2 linked regions of the Xenopus tropicalis genome follow. The protein of the gene in region 1 interacts with the protein of each later gene in a pairwise test. Links are inferred from orthologs where the notes say so. Each region holds a gene or a part of one and is shown in the gene's direction. Other genes may lie near its edges. The genes, in order: inpp5k and mad2l1bp.

Region 1 (7,522 bases):
GTGGCTACACAATCCCCACCTCGAGATGTCAGCTCTCTGCTTCAATTCGATATCCCAGGTTCAGATATTGATATGTACATCATTGGGTAAGTACAAACAGGTAGCTTAGAAATACAAACTTTTCATGTTTTAAATGATTCTGATGGCTTCCATGTATGTTAAGTCTGTCTAGCTGGTGCCCCCAAGCCTGCACTGGGGCCCCACAGACTTCTTTGTTTGACAAAATGTTGTGATTATTATTAGACTCTTTGTAACACATGAAATAGCCTGCCCACTATCTTTTAAGAAAAATATAAACTGTACATTTTGAAAATGATAGATCAAATATCAGTCACTTGGTGCGGGTCACAAAGTATGAAATTTAGCAGCAACAGAGCTAGTGTCAGCTAGGTTATAGTTACAGCATGTCCTTTGTGATATTTTTCCATGTGTTCCTGCAGGCATACCCTTTCTTATCCCTTACTATCTGCATACAAATGGAACAGTCCAAACAGAGGACCTAGCGCTGTAGACAACTCATTCTAATAAAAAAGGTGCAATAATTACCTGTTTAAATAGAGCAATAATGGTGAGACAGTTGTCTAAATAGTATGCTCCATCTATTGCATCCATGCATTCTCTCACTCCATCTGCATTTAGGATATATTTTATGTTTTCAACCTTAAATTTATATATCTTGGAATGAATCTCAGATGGAATTAGTCACCTACTTAGACTGTCATCAGTGTGGGTAAAAGAGTATAAAGAGCCCCCATTTTCCAAGTGACCAAAAAAGGGTGTAAAATCAGGGAAATGCATTTTGTATTGGCAGGCCCACTATAAAAGGTGTAAAGTTGTGGAATAATTATAATCCAGGGTATGTAAAATTGAGGTTTCCCTTTATTTGCTTACAAGTGAAGTCTAGGAGACTACGAATGATTCGCGAGTTTTTCGTATCCATTACGAAAGTTGCGTATAGCGTCGCATGTTTAACGCTACGGTTTCGTAAAGGATAGGAAAACTATTGATCCGAAAAATTCGTAAAGAATCCGAAAAAATCGCAAAACATACGAAAAAAATCGCAAAGTACCGATCATTACGAAAAAAACGCAATCGGACTCCATTCGACCCGTTCGTGGGTAAGTAAATCAGCCCCTAGGAAACTAAATGTTCTGTAAAAAAGGTATATCATGTGATGTCATACTCGGCACCAGGGCTTGTATTTCAGTCAGTATTGGCATGATAGGATGATTTTTTTTTTTTAATATTTTTCAGCTTGCAAGAAGTAAATTCAAAAGTTCTGAATTTTCTATCAGATTTAGCATTTGATGATCCATGGAGTATCTATCTTATGGATATTTTAGCTCCCCTCGGCTATGTCAAGGTAGTATATTTATGGTTATGGCATGTTTATGTAAATCACTACATGGATTTGCTGAAAGGTAAAATGTAATGTTTCTTTGGCTTGTTTTTTTTAGCTCTCCTCTATCCGACTGCAGGGCCTCCTTCTCCTGACCTTTGTAAAGCATCAACATATTCCCTTCATACAGGACATTCGTACCAATTACATTCGCACTGGCTTGTTTGGCTACTGGGTAAGCATTCTTGATGGTCAGAACAGAAAGAATTTTCTGGGATTTTACTTGCATTTTGAGATATATATGTGTGTGTGTACTAGACCTGCTAGGATTGTAGTTGAATACCAACTAGAAGTGTGCTGAAGATACCTTCATTTGATATTTTTCCAACTCTTTTTTCATCTAGTGGATAAAATAGTAGAGAGACACACAGAGCAGTAGTCATAACTAGTCGGTGGCATAACTGTAGAGGAAGCAGACCCTGCGGGGGAGCAGTGGGGCTCAGACTACTGGGTCTGCTTTCTCTATAGCAGTGAAGAACTGCCTTCTCCCACCCCTCTCCTGATAACGAGCAGGGAAAGAAGGGGGCGGAAGTGCATGTTTTGTTAGTACTTAAAGGAGACATTTTATATAATATTCATATTCAGTTATACTTATTCATCCTCCCTTTAAAATGTGTAATGATGCAGAAAAATTGACTATGTTTTGAAAGCATTTTACCTCCTGTGACCACAGGAAGTGGTCACAGCACTGATTGACAGGCTGAACTCAGCAGTAGCAGGGGAAGCCCCTCCCAATTGCCTCCCTCTGTCTCTGTTCCCTAACTACATAATTTTGGTGGTGCTGCTGCCAGATCAGTAAGCTAAAACAATATACTTTAAATGCATAAAGCAATAGATCAGAGGGGGTGGGGAACAAGCAGAGAGATATAAATGATCAGAGAGAGGGGGAAACGAGCAGAGAGAGATGAACAATCAGAGGGGGGGGGCAAGCAGAGAAAGGTGAACGATCAGAGGAGGGGGCGAGCAGAGAGAGAAATAAACAATCAGAGGGGGGTAACAAGCACTACTTGGGAATGGCAGCCCCCCCGACTTACAATGTCCACCCACAACGAGCCCTGCACATTGGCTATTGTGGCACCTTATTCAAGTGCCAACCCTCTCCCTTATGTTTGTCCCAAGCAATCAACGGTCTCACCACAGTGGCAGTCCTGTTGTAGCAATAGACCGCTCCTCCTAGTCACCCCTAATCCCCACTATGCTGGATCTCAGCTCTCTCCCCACTTAAAGATGCATTCCGCCTCTTCCTTTCTGTGTGTTTCACCAAAGTGACTCACTAGTTGGTGTACTGGAGATTGTTAGAGATTTTTGGAGATTGTGCAGTGTTTCTTATAATAGTTAAAGTGTCTTTTATGTAATATACGTTGCTGCTATACATTTCTCCCTTAAAAGGGCTTCATTAGGCAAAAATATTGACAGTTAAAAATTTTGCTTGTTTGAATAAAATTTTCAGTGTCAATATTTTATTTTAACATAAAGAAGGCATACATCTTTCATACTCTGCTTTCTCCCATGAAAGGGAAACAAAGGGGGCGTTATAGTCCGTATGTCGGTGTATGGGCACATGGTTTGCTTCATGAACTGCCATTTGCCAGCACACATGGAAAACACCAACCAGAGGCTCGATGATTTTGAAAGGATGCTGGACACTCAGCAATTTGATGACGATAATACTGGAAATATTCTAGACCATGAGTAAGTTCTGGTAAAGAAATGAATAAAGTTAAGTGCAGTGTGTTCTCCAGGTCTAGTAACCTATAGCAACCAATCAACAGGGAACTTTTATTAATCTGCTGTTTGAAATAGAAAGCACTGGGTTAAAAGGGACCTGTCACCATAAGAGATAATTCCAAGTTCTTTTCTATTGTGCTAGTCGGGCAAAATGAACTTTACCTACACTATGTAAAATATATAAACTTTGTTTCTTTCAGTCTTGAAAATCGCAATTACAGCAAGCAGCCTTTAGATTATCTAAAAATCTTGTTTATGCACCAGAATGCAGCACCTGATGTTCATGCACAGGCTACACAAGTATAGACAGTGTAGAGGGAGGGGCAATAAGAGGAGTGTAGTGACATCTAGGAAGTGCTGAATAGAAAATGAAAGTAACTGCCTGCCCTACACAAAGCATAGAGGTGGGCAAGTAATATGTGATTGACAGATTTTTAAATCATTTTATAACAGGTATAAATGTTGTAATACAAAAAAAATTTTGGGTTTTATGTTTAATTTGAAAAGGATTTTAATTATACAGCTTTTTATGTCTGGGTGACAGGTCCCCTTTAATAAACTTGGGGCTGATTTGTTGTAAATTGTGGTTTCTCCAGTAATGCGGTTTTAGTATAGGCTTAGGCATCTTTCTATCCCACTAGCAACTTTTTAAAAAAATGTATTTTTTGTGATAGCGTTTGTGTATTACTAAGCCCTAGATGTATTAACTGTATCAATATGTTATTTCCAACGATGAGAAGTGCTTCTTGGACAGGGGCAAATTCTAATGGCATTTATGTTTGTTTATGTTACTCTAAAGTCTCGTGTTTTGCTTTGGAGACCTAAACTTCCGGATTACAGACTTTGGGATCCACTTTATTAGAGAAGCGATAAACAGTAATAAATACAACCTGCTGTGGGAGAAAGACCAGGTATGCTAACTTACAGACCGCTCGTCTAATTTCACTGGTGTCTAGCATTTAATCATGCTTAATTTTTTGTGTCGACTTCCTAATTCTTTTTGTGTAATAAGCTCAGTTTCAATTAAGAAACTTTGTTTTTATAAATGTGCATTTATTGTCACACAACAGTATAAACAAAAGTATAGTCATACACACAAAATGGGATACTGTGCCTCAGTAGGAAAATCATTTTCAGCTCTCTAAGGCTACTGCCACACCATGTGTATGGCGTATATTTTGGGCAAGCCGAAAAACGCTTGCCGAAAATTTGCGCCATATGCTCCTACCTGTGCCTGCACCCGAATGTATGGAATACGCTTGGGTGCAGGCACATATAGCTGAAATCCACATCAAAACGCAATGCAAAGTGTTGCGTTTTTTATGCATATTTCGGCTACATGTGCCTGCACCTGACTTTATTCCATTCATTCGGGTGCAGGCACAGGTAGGAGCTTATGGCGCATATTTTCGGCAAGCGTTTTTCGGCATGGTGTGGCAGTAGCCTAATCTTCTTAACAATATTATAAATAAGTTGAATTGAACCCAACAAACTTATATTTGAGAAAAATTTAAAAATTGCATCAGTTGTAAATAAAAAAAAAAATTGTGTATGTGAATAGAATTTTCACCAATGTGAAGTTACTTCTCATACTCATGTGTGCTCTCCTTTTAGTAAATTGTTATTGTTGTGGCAAATTTTCAATAAATATGGTCCCATGGAGAAAGACATTTGTTAATTAAAGGAGTTATTCACCTTTGTAGTACATTCACAAATTTAACATTAATAGAGCCATCTTTGCTTTATACACAGTTAACAAAAAATGTGCAGCTGAAGAGATATTCACCTCAGAATCATCCTTCTGCTGATCCGTCAATTCTGCACAGACCCTGTGCTGGAGGGTTGTGGGGAGGGGCAGTGAACCCCTAAACACTACAGCCGCTTGTTTTTCTTCCTGATGTTACGCATAGTACTGGCAGCAGACTTAATTTGTACTGAGTACTGCAAACCTAACATAACATTATATTAGATTTGTGATATGCTGAGTCTGTTTGCCTATGCCTTTGCAACCAATGACTTTTCAATTTATGCAACTGGTTAGAGTGCACAAGTAGCCAGTGAATTGGTCCAGAAGGAAAAAAGTAATGGCAAAGCCTGAATGTGATGTTGTAAGCATATAGGAAGTTCTTAGTGTGCCAGGTTCAAAATAGGCCATTCCCATCCCTTACAAAAACTGATCAGAGAGACAGAAAAGGACTGATTTAACAGGTATAAAAGTAGTTTTTACAGTGGCCTTTACTTGTTTTTACACGCTGAGTGCATTGTTAATAAAATTTGGACATTGAAGGTGAACAACCCCTTTAATTAAGAAATTACTAATGACTCTGTATTTTGCAGCATACACATAAGGTTTGAGTTCAAATTGGAGAGCATTGTATTTGTAGAGATGAGAATTATGTTTATGCTTTTATATTACTGGTCTGAATGTGGAATGCACACTCCTTTAAATGCATCTGTGGTGCTTTATTAGAAAGGTCTATGTAAGTACAGCCATAAGCACTCAAAGAAACGCTGCACTTTATCGAAAGAAACATAGAGTTCTCTGTCAAAAGATTTGTTGTGTCTGGTTTCCTGTGCCAGAGACACGCAGCTCTCTCCTCTCTCCCCTCTCCTGCTCCCCCCTCCCTCAAGAATGCTATGAACTCACTTATGAATGTGGATCTGAGCCAATCAGCAGGAAGCTTCCTCATAGTCTAACTAACTGAGCATGTGCACCGGTCTGGGTCTCAGTGCAGGAGCGAGGCATTATGGGAACTTTCTTTACACAGCTCAGCGTTTTTTCTTCCTGTTTGGCTTCTGATCATCTGAACAGGTGAAATATGGGGAGACTTAAGGGCACTATTGAGAGAACTGAAGGTATGCCTGCAGCTTGAGATTAACTCTTTATGGTTGCAAATTCATTATAGCCTGTTCTTTGAAATTTGGTACCCAGTCATGTAATAACTCCTCCAAAACATCATTTCAATACTCTTTAATATGGTTTGTGCTTTGTTTTTTCTTCCAATTAACAGTTAAATATTGCTAAGAAGAAAGAACCTTTCCTGCAAGGATTTCTGGAAGGACCACTAAAGTTTAAACCCACGTATAAGTTTGACCAGAATTCTGATGTATATGATACCAGGTACAAACACATATCCCAATGTAAGACAGTATGGCCTTCACCCCGTTGTGCTTTATATTCATCTCTTTGCTTTGTTTCCAGATGGAGAAAGTCACTGTTTGGACTTAAGTAAGATTAAAAAATATCCCTTGTCTCAAACTAAAACCAGTAGTAGACTATACTAAATGAGTTATCAGTAGAAATACTCAAATGTAATGCAGTATTCCTACATGATTTCTCTAGAAAACCTAATAACATCATGTCAAACCTGTTGCCTTAGTTTGCTGGCTCAAATATGCACAAACTAAGAGCGAAATACTTCAGCTTGCTAAATATCTCCAGGACTGAAACATTTGGAGTGTTGTCCATATTAACCCACACCTAAATAGATGGTATCCCCATATAATCTTATGATACAGCCGGAAAGCTATCATGATCTGTGCTTTTATTATTTGTTACTACTATACAAATTATTATTTTTCATATTATTTGTGAATCAGCATTTGGATGAACGTATTTAATTTTTTGGGAAGAGGCATTAGTCATTTAGAACTGAGTTAAGAGATAATTTTACTCTGCTTTCTAGTGGATGGGACCTGTTTGTGGTGGTCGCTACAAAAAATAAACTCTAAATATTGTAAAAGCATAGAAGAAAGTTATCAAAATGTTATTGTATGGTTTTATTGGGTATTTGATATAAAATTTAAAATGACACACTCTTTTTGTTTCATGACAGCAGATATTTGACTTGCTATATAATCTTGTCTTCATTAGTTTCCATTTCCATCTATACATTAGCGTTATAAGCCAATCAAAGATGTTTATAAAACTAAAAAAAATAACATTAATGTTTATTTTCAGTTCTATTATGAGGGGGAAGGTGTTAGAGCAGTGTGGTGGTTACTGAATTTTATGAACATTAAAAGATTCTAATATCTCATAATACTATACAGATATAATTTTCAGAGAAAGGAAGATGGGGAGAAGCTGGAAGGGTGAAGACAAATGATCCTTAAATGAAAGAAAAAATGTTAACTAAGGAGGGGTGAACAGCAATAAATAAATATGGGCACAGTACAGTAGGTTGGCACCAAAAACATTTGGAGTCAATTGCAAGCGCAATGTGGGATCTTAAAAAGGAGGTGAACAGTAGGTGAAAATAAAAGGAATGTTGGTAATGGTATATGTGTGGTAAAGGAAAGCAAAATTACCAAAACAAGTGGATATGCAGATGTGACTAGTGAACGAGAAAATGAAGTGGGTAGGAAGCCAAAGGAAAGTGTGTTAGCAAAAAA
Region 2 (6,350 bases), on another chromosome or scaffold:
AGAGGGGAGGCTGTGTGTGTGTGTGGGCAGGGGTTGCTGGGAGAGGGAGGCTGGTGTGGGGCAGGGCCTGCTGGAGATGGAGGCTGTGTGTATGGGGAGGCAGGGGCTGCTGGGAGAGGAGGCTGTGTGTATGGGGGGGAGGCTGCTGGGAGAGGGAGGCTGTGTGTGTGAGTGGGGCAGGGGCTGCTGGGAGAGGGAGGCTGTGTGTGTATGGGGGGCAGGGGCTGCTGGGGAGGGGAGGCTGTGTGTGTATGGGGGCAGGGGCTGCTGGGAGAGGGAGGCTGTGTGTGTATGGGGGGCAGGGGCTGCTGGGAGAGGGAGGCTGTGTGCTGTTGTGTATGGGGGGCAGGGGCTGCACTGGGAGAGGGAGGCTGTGTGTGGGGGCAGGGCTGTGGAGAGGGAGCTGTGTGTGTGAGTGGGGCAGGGGCTGCTGCGGAGAGGGAGGCTGCATGTGTGTGAGGGGAGGGGCTGCTGGAGATGGAGGCTGTGTGGTGAGTGGGCAAGGGCTCTGGGAGAGGGAGGCTGTGTGAGTGGGGCAGGCGCTGCTGGCGAGAGGGAGGCGTGTGTGTTGTATGGGGGGCAGGGGTGTGGGGAGAGGGAGGCTGTGTTGTGGGGCAAGGGCGCTGCTGGTGAAGGGAGGCTGTGTGATTTAGTGAAGTGGGGCAGGGGGCTGCTGAGATGGAGGCTGTGGTGTATGGGAGGCAGGGATCTGCTGGGAGAGGGAGGCGTGTGTGTGTATGTATGGGGGGCAGGGGCTGCTGGGAGAGGGCAGGCTGTGTGTGTGTATGGGGGCAGGGGCTGCTGGGAGATTGGAGGCTGGTGTGGTGTGGGGCAGGGGCTGCTGGGAGGATGCGAGGCTGTGTGTTAGGGGGGCAGGGCTGCTGGAGAGGGAGGGCTGTGTGGTATGGGCAGGGCCTGGCTGGGAGAGGGAGGCTTGTGTGTGTGTATGGGGGGCAGGGCTGCTGGGGAGAGGGAGGTTGTGCGCTTGTGTTGTATGGGGCAGGGGCTGCGTGGAGATTGGAGGCTGTTGTGTGTGGGTGAGCAGGGCTGTGGAGATGGAGGTGTGTGTGTGTGTTTGGGGCGGGGCAGGGGCTGCTGGGAGATGGAGGCTGTGTGTGTGGGGGGCAGGGGCTGCTGGGCAGATTGAGGCTGTGTGTGTGGGGGGCAGGGGCTGCTGCGGGAGATGGAGGCTGTGTGTGGGGGCAGGGGCTGTGGGGAGATGGAGGCTGTGTGTGTGTGTGGGGCAGGGTGCTTGCTGCTTGGAGATGGAGGCTGTGTGTGTGGGGGCAGGCGGCTGCTGGGAGATGGAGGCTGCTGTTGTGTGTGGGGGGCCCAGGGCTGCTGGGAGATGGACGGCCTGTGCTGATGTGGGGCAGGGGCTGCTGGAGATGGAGGCTGTGTTGTGGGGAGCAGGGCTGCTGTGGAGATGGAGGGCTGTGTTGTGTGGGGCAGGGGCGCTGGGAGATTGGAGGCTGTGTGTGTGGCGGCCGCAGGGCTGCTGGAGATGGACCGGTCTGTGTGTGTGTGGGGCAGGGGCTGCTGGGGGATGGAGGCTGTGCAACTGTGTGTGGGTGAGGCAGGGGCTGCTGGGAGAGTGGAGGCTGTGTGTGTGGTGGCAGGGCTGCTGGAGATGGAGGCTGTGTGTGTTGTGGGGGCAGGGGCTGCTGGAGATGGAGGCTGTTGTGTGTGTGGGTGGGGCAGGGCTGCTGGGAGATGGAGGCTGTGTGTGTGTGGGGGGCAGGGGGACTGCTGGAGAGAGGAGGCTGTGTGTGGGGGGCAGGGGCTGCTGGGAGATGGAGGCTGTGTGTGTGCGGGCAGGGGCTGCTGGGAGATGGAGGCTGTGTGTGTGTGGGGGGCAGGGGCTGCTGGGAGATGGAGGCTGTGTGTGTGTGGGGGGCAGGGGCTGCTGGGAGATGGATGAGTGATCAGCTTTTTCATTTTTTTAGGTAGAAAAGTGGAAGTGGTGCTTTGGTTGCCATGGGTTACTGCCTGGTCTTATTGAATGAGAGGTGCATCTGTGTGTGAGAAGGGCAGAAAGTACTGACTGGGGTATTACTGGGGGGTTACAGTGACACGAGTACTTATGGTGCCTACTTACCCTTTATCACAGGATGGCGCAATGTGGCCAAGATCCGCCTCCCCGGAGAGCTCAGGGCCGACTCCTTTCCTCCCAGCGGCGCTGCTCTCAGGAAGATCTCACTGTATCGGTGGTATTCCCTGGGCTGGTAACGCGGGAAAGCTGCTGCCGATTCACCTGCGAGCTGCTAAAGCACATTCTGCACCAGCGCCACCAACTGCCCCTCCCGTATGAGCAGCTGCTGGGGTTCAGCGGGAAAGCGCAGGTAATCATTGGCTCAGGCCTTAGTGCATAGGCCGCTGGCTCAGGTTGGGCGGCTGTGTGTGACCTCACTTAGCCATAACTGATTGGTCTTTTATCCAATGGAGCATTTAAAGGGGATATAAACCCAACCATAACGCTGCCCCACGGCGCCCCCTAGTGTTGCTATAGAAGTTGCCAAAAAACGTAATTCTAGATGCAAGGAAATTCCCCAATGAGCCTTCTACTGAGCAACATGTGATTATAAGTGCAAGAGAAGTGACCAATGAGAATGCTGATTCCCTGTGTCCGGCCCCTTGCTGGTACCTTACATATAGAGATAATGATGGCATTTTCCCGTCATTATATGGCACAGGAATCAGACATGGGGATAAAGGGACAGACTTGTTCAGTGCTGGGAAACTGTGCTTATTGCTCCCAACTCCAATTGCAGGAACAGAGAACAGGGAGCCGGATTTACTCACATCAGCTGGGATTCTCATTGGGGGATTTCTTGCATTTTAATGGGGGAAAGTTTTATTGGGCAGTATTGCTTTAAGAATACAACCCTGATGTTGCTGGACTACAGCTCCCAGCATGCCTCACCCTTCATTATATGTTACATTATTCTGGGATTTGTAGTCCGGCAACAGCTGAGTAACGTTGGGTTGAGCCGCGCTGTGCCGCAGGGTTTAGCTTCCCTTTATTGTTCCAATGTAAATATCAGCAGTAAGTAGAGCGACAGATCATTGCGGTCGCTGTATATAGTGGTACTGTGTAACTGGGTCAGCCCCTTGACTGAGCAGAACCAATATGTGTTCAGTCTCTGTGTCTGTCTCTGTGTCTTTGCCCAGCTCAGCAGATAACATGGGCACGCTTGGCACAGTCACTGGCAGCATAAATGAGTGCACTGGGGCCCTCGGTTGTTGAACTGCAAGTAGCAGCACCCGTGTAGCAGCACCCGTGTAGCAGCACCCGTGTAGCAGCACCCGTGTAGCAGCACCCGTGTAGCAGCACCCGTGTAGCAGCACCCGTGTAGCAGCACCCGTGTTAGTTCGGCGGTTCCAGTTGTAGTTTAGCTCTGTGTTTATCTCTCCCCAGGGAAGTGAAGATGCTGCCAAGAAACGCTCTTGGACCGAGGAGCTGGGGAACCGCCAGTGCAAACAGACTCTGTCGGACCTGGAGGAGCTACTGGGTCAGCTTGAAACTCTGTTCGCCATCACCCCTGTACCCCGCGTTCTGCTGCTGCTGGGGGGGAACCCCGTGAATCCCAAAGAGCTGTACGATATCGACATGGCGGGGGTGAGCGTGGGTAACGGGGAGCAGAGCCTGGGTACCCGGCCGTGTCTGCGCCAGCTGTTCCATGCCCTGTTCCTGGCCGACCCATTCAGCGACCTGCGCGCTACGTCTGTACTGAGTCTGGTGGTGATGGTGCAGGGGCAGCGCCAGTGCGGCACAGACTGGTTCAAGCCCAAGCTGAATTATAAGGTGCCCAGCAGGGGCCACACCCTGACTGTCAGACTGGCATGTACGGACTCTCCGGCCCCGGAACCCACCAGCGGGGATTATATCTGGTTCCAGGCTCCCGTTACAGTCAAGGGCTTTCAGAACTGAACGTCTGGGTTTTTATCTTTGGACCAAGTGTTGCGGTTCTGGCAGGAAAATGGTGCTGCTGTAGGCGAAACCTTGTATTCTGTGAGGAACCTGTGTGCGGGTGGGGGTACCCCTGCTGCTGCATAGGGTTAGTAATGGGGCAGATAGGGGACAGGAAGTGCCCCCCGGGGGTAGGTGCAATACAGGGGGCCCCAGAGTATGGGCTGCCATTCTGCCAGGGCACATCCTGTGTCTGTATCACTGCCTGAAACTCAGCCCCCCCCACCCCAAGGAGAGGCACAACTATAACTCCCTGTATGGCAATAGCCTGAAACTTTCCCTCTGTACAACGAAGCTCGAGCCCCCCCACCCCAAGCCTAAGGAGAGGCACAACTATAACTCTCTGTATGGCAATAGGGTGAAACTTTCCTTCTGTACAAGGAAGCTCGAGCCCCCCCACCCCAAGCCTAAGGAGAGGCACAACTATAACTCTCTGTATGGCAATAGGGTGAAACTTTCCCTCTGTACAAGGAAGCTCGAGCCCCCCCACCCCAAGCCTAAGGAGAGGCACAACTATAACTCCCTGTATGGCAATAGCCTGAAACTTTCCCTCTGTACAAGGAAGCTCGAGCCCCCCCACCCCAAGGAGAGGCACAACTATAACTCCCTGTATGGCAATAGGGTGAAACTTTCCCTCTGTACAAGGAAGCTCGAGCCCCCCCACCCCAAGGAGAGGCACAACTATAACTCCCTGTATGGCAATAGGGTGAAACTTTCCCTCTGTACAAGGAAGCTCGAGCCCCCCCACCCCAAGCCTAAGGAGAGGCACAACTATAACTCTCTGTATGGCAATAGCCTGAAACTTTCCCTCTGTACAAGGAAGCTCGAGCCCCCCCACCCCAAGCCTAAGGAGAGGCACAACTATAACTCTCTCTGTATGGCAATAGCCTGAAACTTTCCCTCTGTACAAGGAAGCTCGAGCCCCCCCACCCCAAGCCTAAGGAGAGGCACAACTATAACTCTCTGTATGGCAATAGCCTGAAACTTTCCCTCTGTACAAGGAAGCTCGAGCCCCCCCACCCCAAGCCTAAGGAGAGGCACAACTATAACTCTCTCTGTATGGCAATAGCCTGAAACTTTCCCTCTGTACAAGGAAGCTCGAGCCCCCCCACCCCAAGCCTAAGGAGAGGCACAACTATAACTCTCTGTATGACAATAGCCTGAAACTTTCCCTCTGTACAAGGAAGCTCGAGCCCCCCCACCCCAAGCCTAAGGAGAGGCACAACTATAACTCTCTGTATGACAATAGCCTGAAACTTTATCCTGACTGGGTCGGCCTGACTCCTGAATGCATATGAACCCCAATAATCTCACTGCCCCCCAAAGGGGAGTAGTCGGGAATGGAGTAAATCCTGTGCCTTATACATAGATACCCCCAGGGTGCTGCTGCGGGGGTCACTATCTGACGTGCCGGGGGCAGCGCTGGGGTCACTAAGGCCTGAACCGCACAGGTTGCACTTTCTCTCCTTGGTTTTTAATGTAAAGTTTTTACTTTTTTTTATTATTATGAAACTAAAGAGAATCTATATTTTTATTAAAGTGACAGGTGCTAAACTTGCTAATATTTAGCAGCCCAAGGAATTTCCCAACATTCTGTCTGTCTGTCTGTCTGTCAGAGACGCACAGTTTAACCCTGTGTCTGTGTATAGAGGCTGCACTATTTCATTTTCTCTGTCTGACCTATGGCATTGGCTTCTTCTAGGAAACTACCTCCTCTGCACCCCCATACTTTGGGACCCACCCTCAAATAAAGGTTTTTATCCAAATCCTCCTGTTTTATGGTATCTCTCTGTACAGGCTATGAGCAAACTTAGGGGGCTGTTCCTGCTGAATTGTGCTTAGTACAGGGGAATCCCTATGTGCCATAGTTTTAGGGTATCTCTCTGTACAGGCTATGAGCAAACTTAGGGGGCTGTTCCTGCTGAATTGTGCTTAGTACAGGGGAATCCCTATGTGCCATAGTTTTATGGTATCTCTCTGTACAGGCTATGAGCAAACTTAGGGGGCTGTTCCTGCTGAATTGTGCTTAGTACAGGGGAATCCCTATGTGCCATAGTTTTATGGTATCTCTCTGTACAGGCTATGAGCAAACTTAGGGGGCTGTTCCTGCTGAATTGTGCTTAGTACAGGGGAATCCCTATGTGCCATAGTTTTATGGTATCTCTCTGTACAGGCTATGAGCAAACTTAGGGGGCTGTTCCTGCTGAATTGTGCTTAGTACAGGGGAATCCCTATGTGCCATAGTTTTATGGTATCTCTCTGTACAGGCTATGAGCAAACTTAGGGGGCTGTTCCTGCTGAATTGTGCTTAGTACAGGGGAATCCCTATGTGCCATAGTTTTATGGTATCTCTCTGTACAGGCTATGGGCAAACTTAGGG

The links.
Region 2: the proteins of inpp5k (region 1) and mad2l1bp interact in binary tests that used the Homo sapiens proteins (3 or more experiments, as listed by UniProt). The link is inferred for Xenopus tropicalis from reciprocal best matches to the Homo sapiens genes INPP5K and MAD2L1BP.

Annotation. Positions count from the first base shown.
Region 1 is NC_030678.2:45,867,810-45,875,331, forward strand, and holds part of inpp5k (inositol polyphosphate 5-phosphatase K), read left to right. Parts: 5' UTR 1-86; intron 87-440; 5' UTR 441-533; intron 534-1,254; 5' UTR 1,255-1,330; coding exon 1,331-1,363; intron 1,364-1,457; coding exon 1,458-1,574; intron 1,575-2,915; coding exon 2,916-3,091; intron 3,092-3,926; coding exon 3,927-4,038; intron 4,039-6,138; coding exon 6,139-6,248; intron 6,249-7,522. UniProt on the Homo sapiens protein: Inositol 5-phosphatase which acts on inositol 1,4,5-trisphosphate, inositol 1,3,4,5-tetrakisphosphate, phosphatidylinositol 4,5-bisphosphate and phosphatidylinositol 3,4,5-trisphosphate.
Region 2 is NC_030681.2:2,407,752-2,414,101, reverse strand, and holds the end of mad2l1bp (MAD2L1-binding protein), read left to right. Parts: intron 1-2,110; 5' UTR 2,111-2,111; coding exon 2,112-2,342; intron 2,343-3,418; coding exon 3,419-3,931; 3' UTR 3,932-5,736; downstream 5,737-6,350. UniProt on the Homo sapiens protein: May function to silence the spindle checkpoint and allow mitosis to proceed through anaphase by binding MAD2L1 after it has become dissociated from the MAD2L1-CDC20 complex.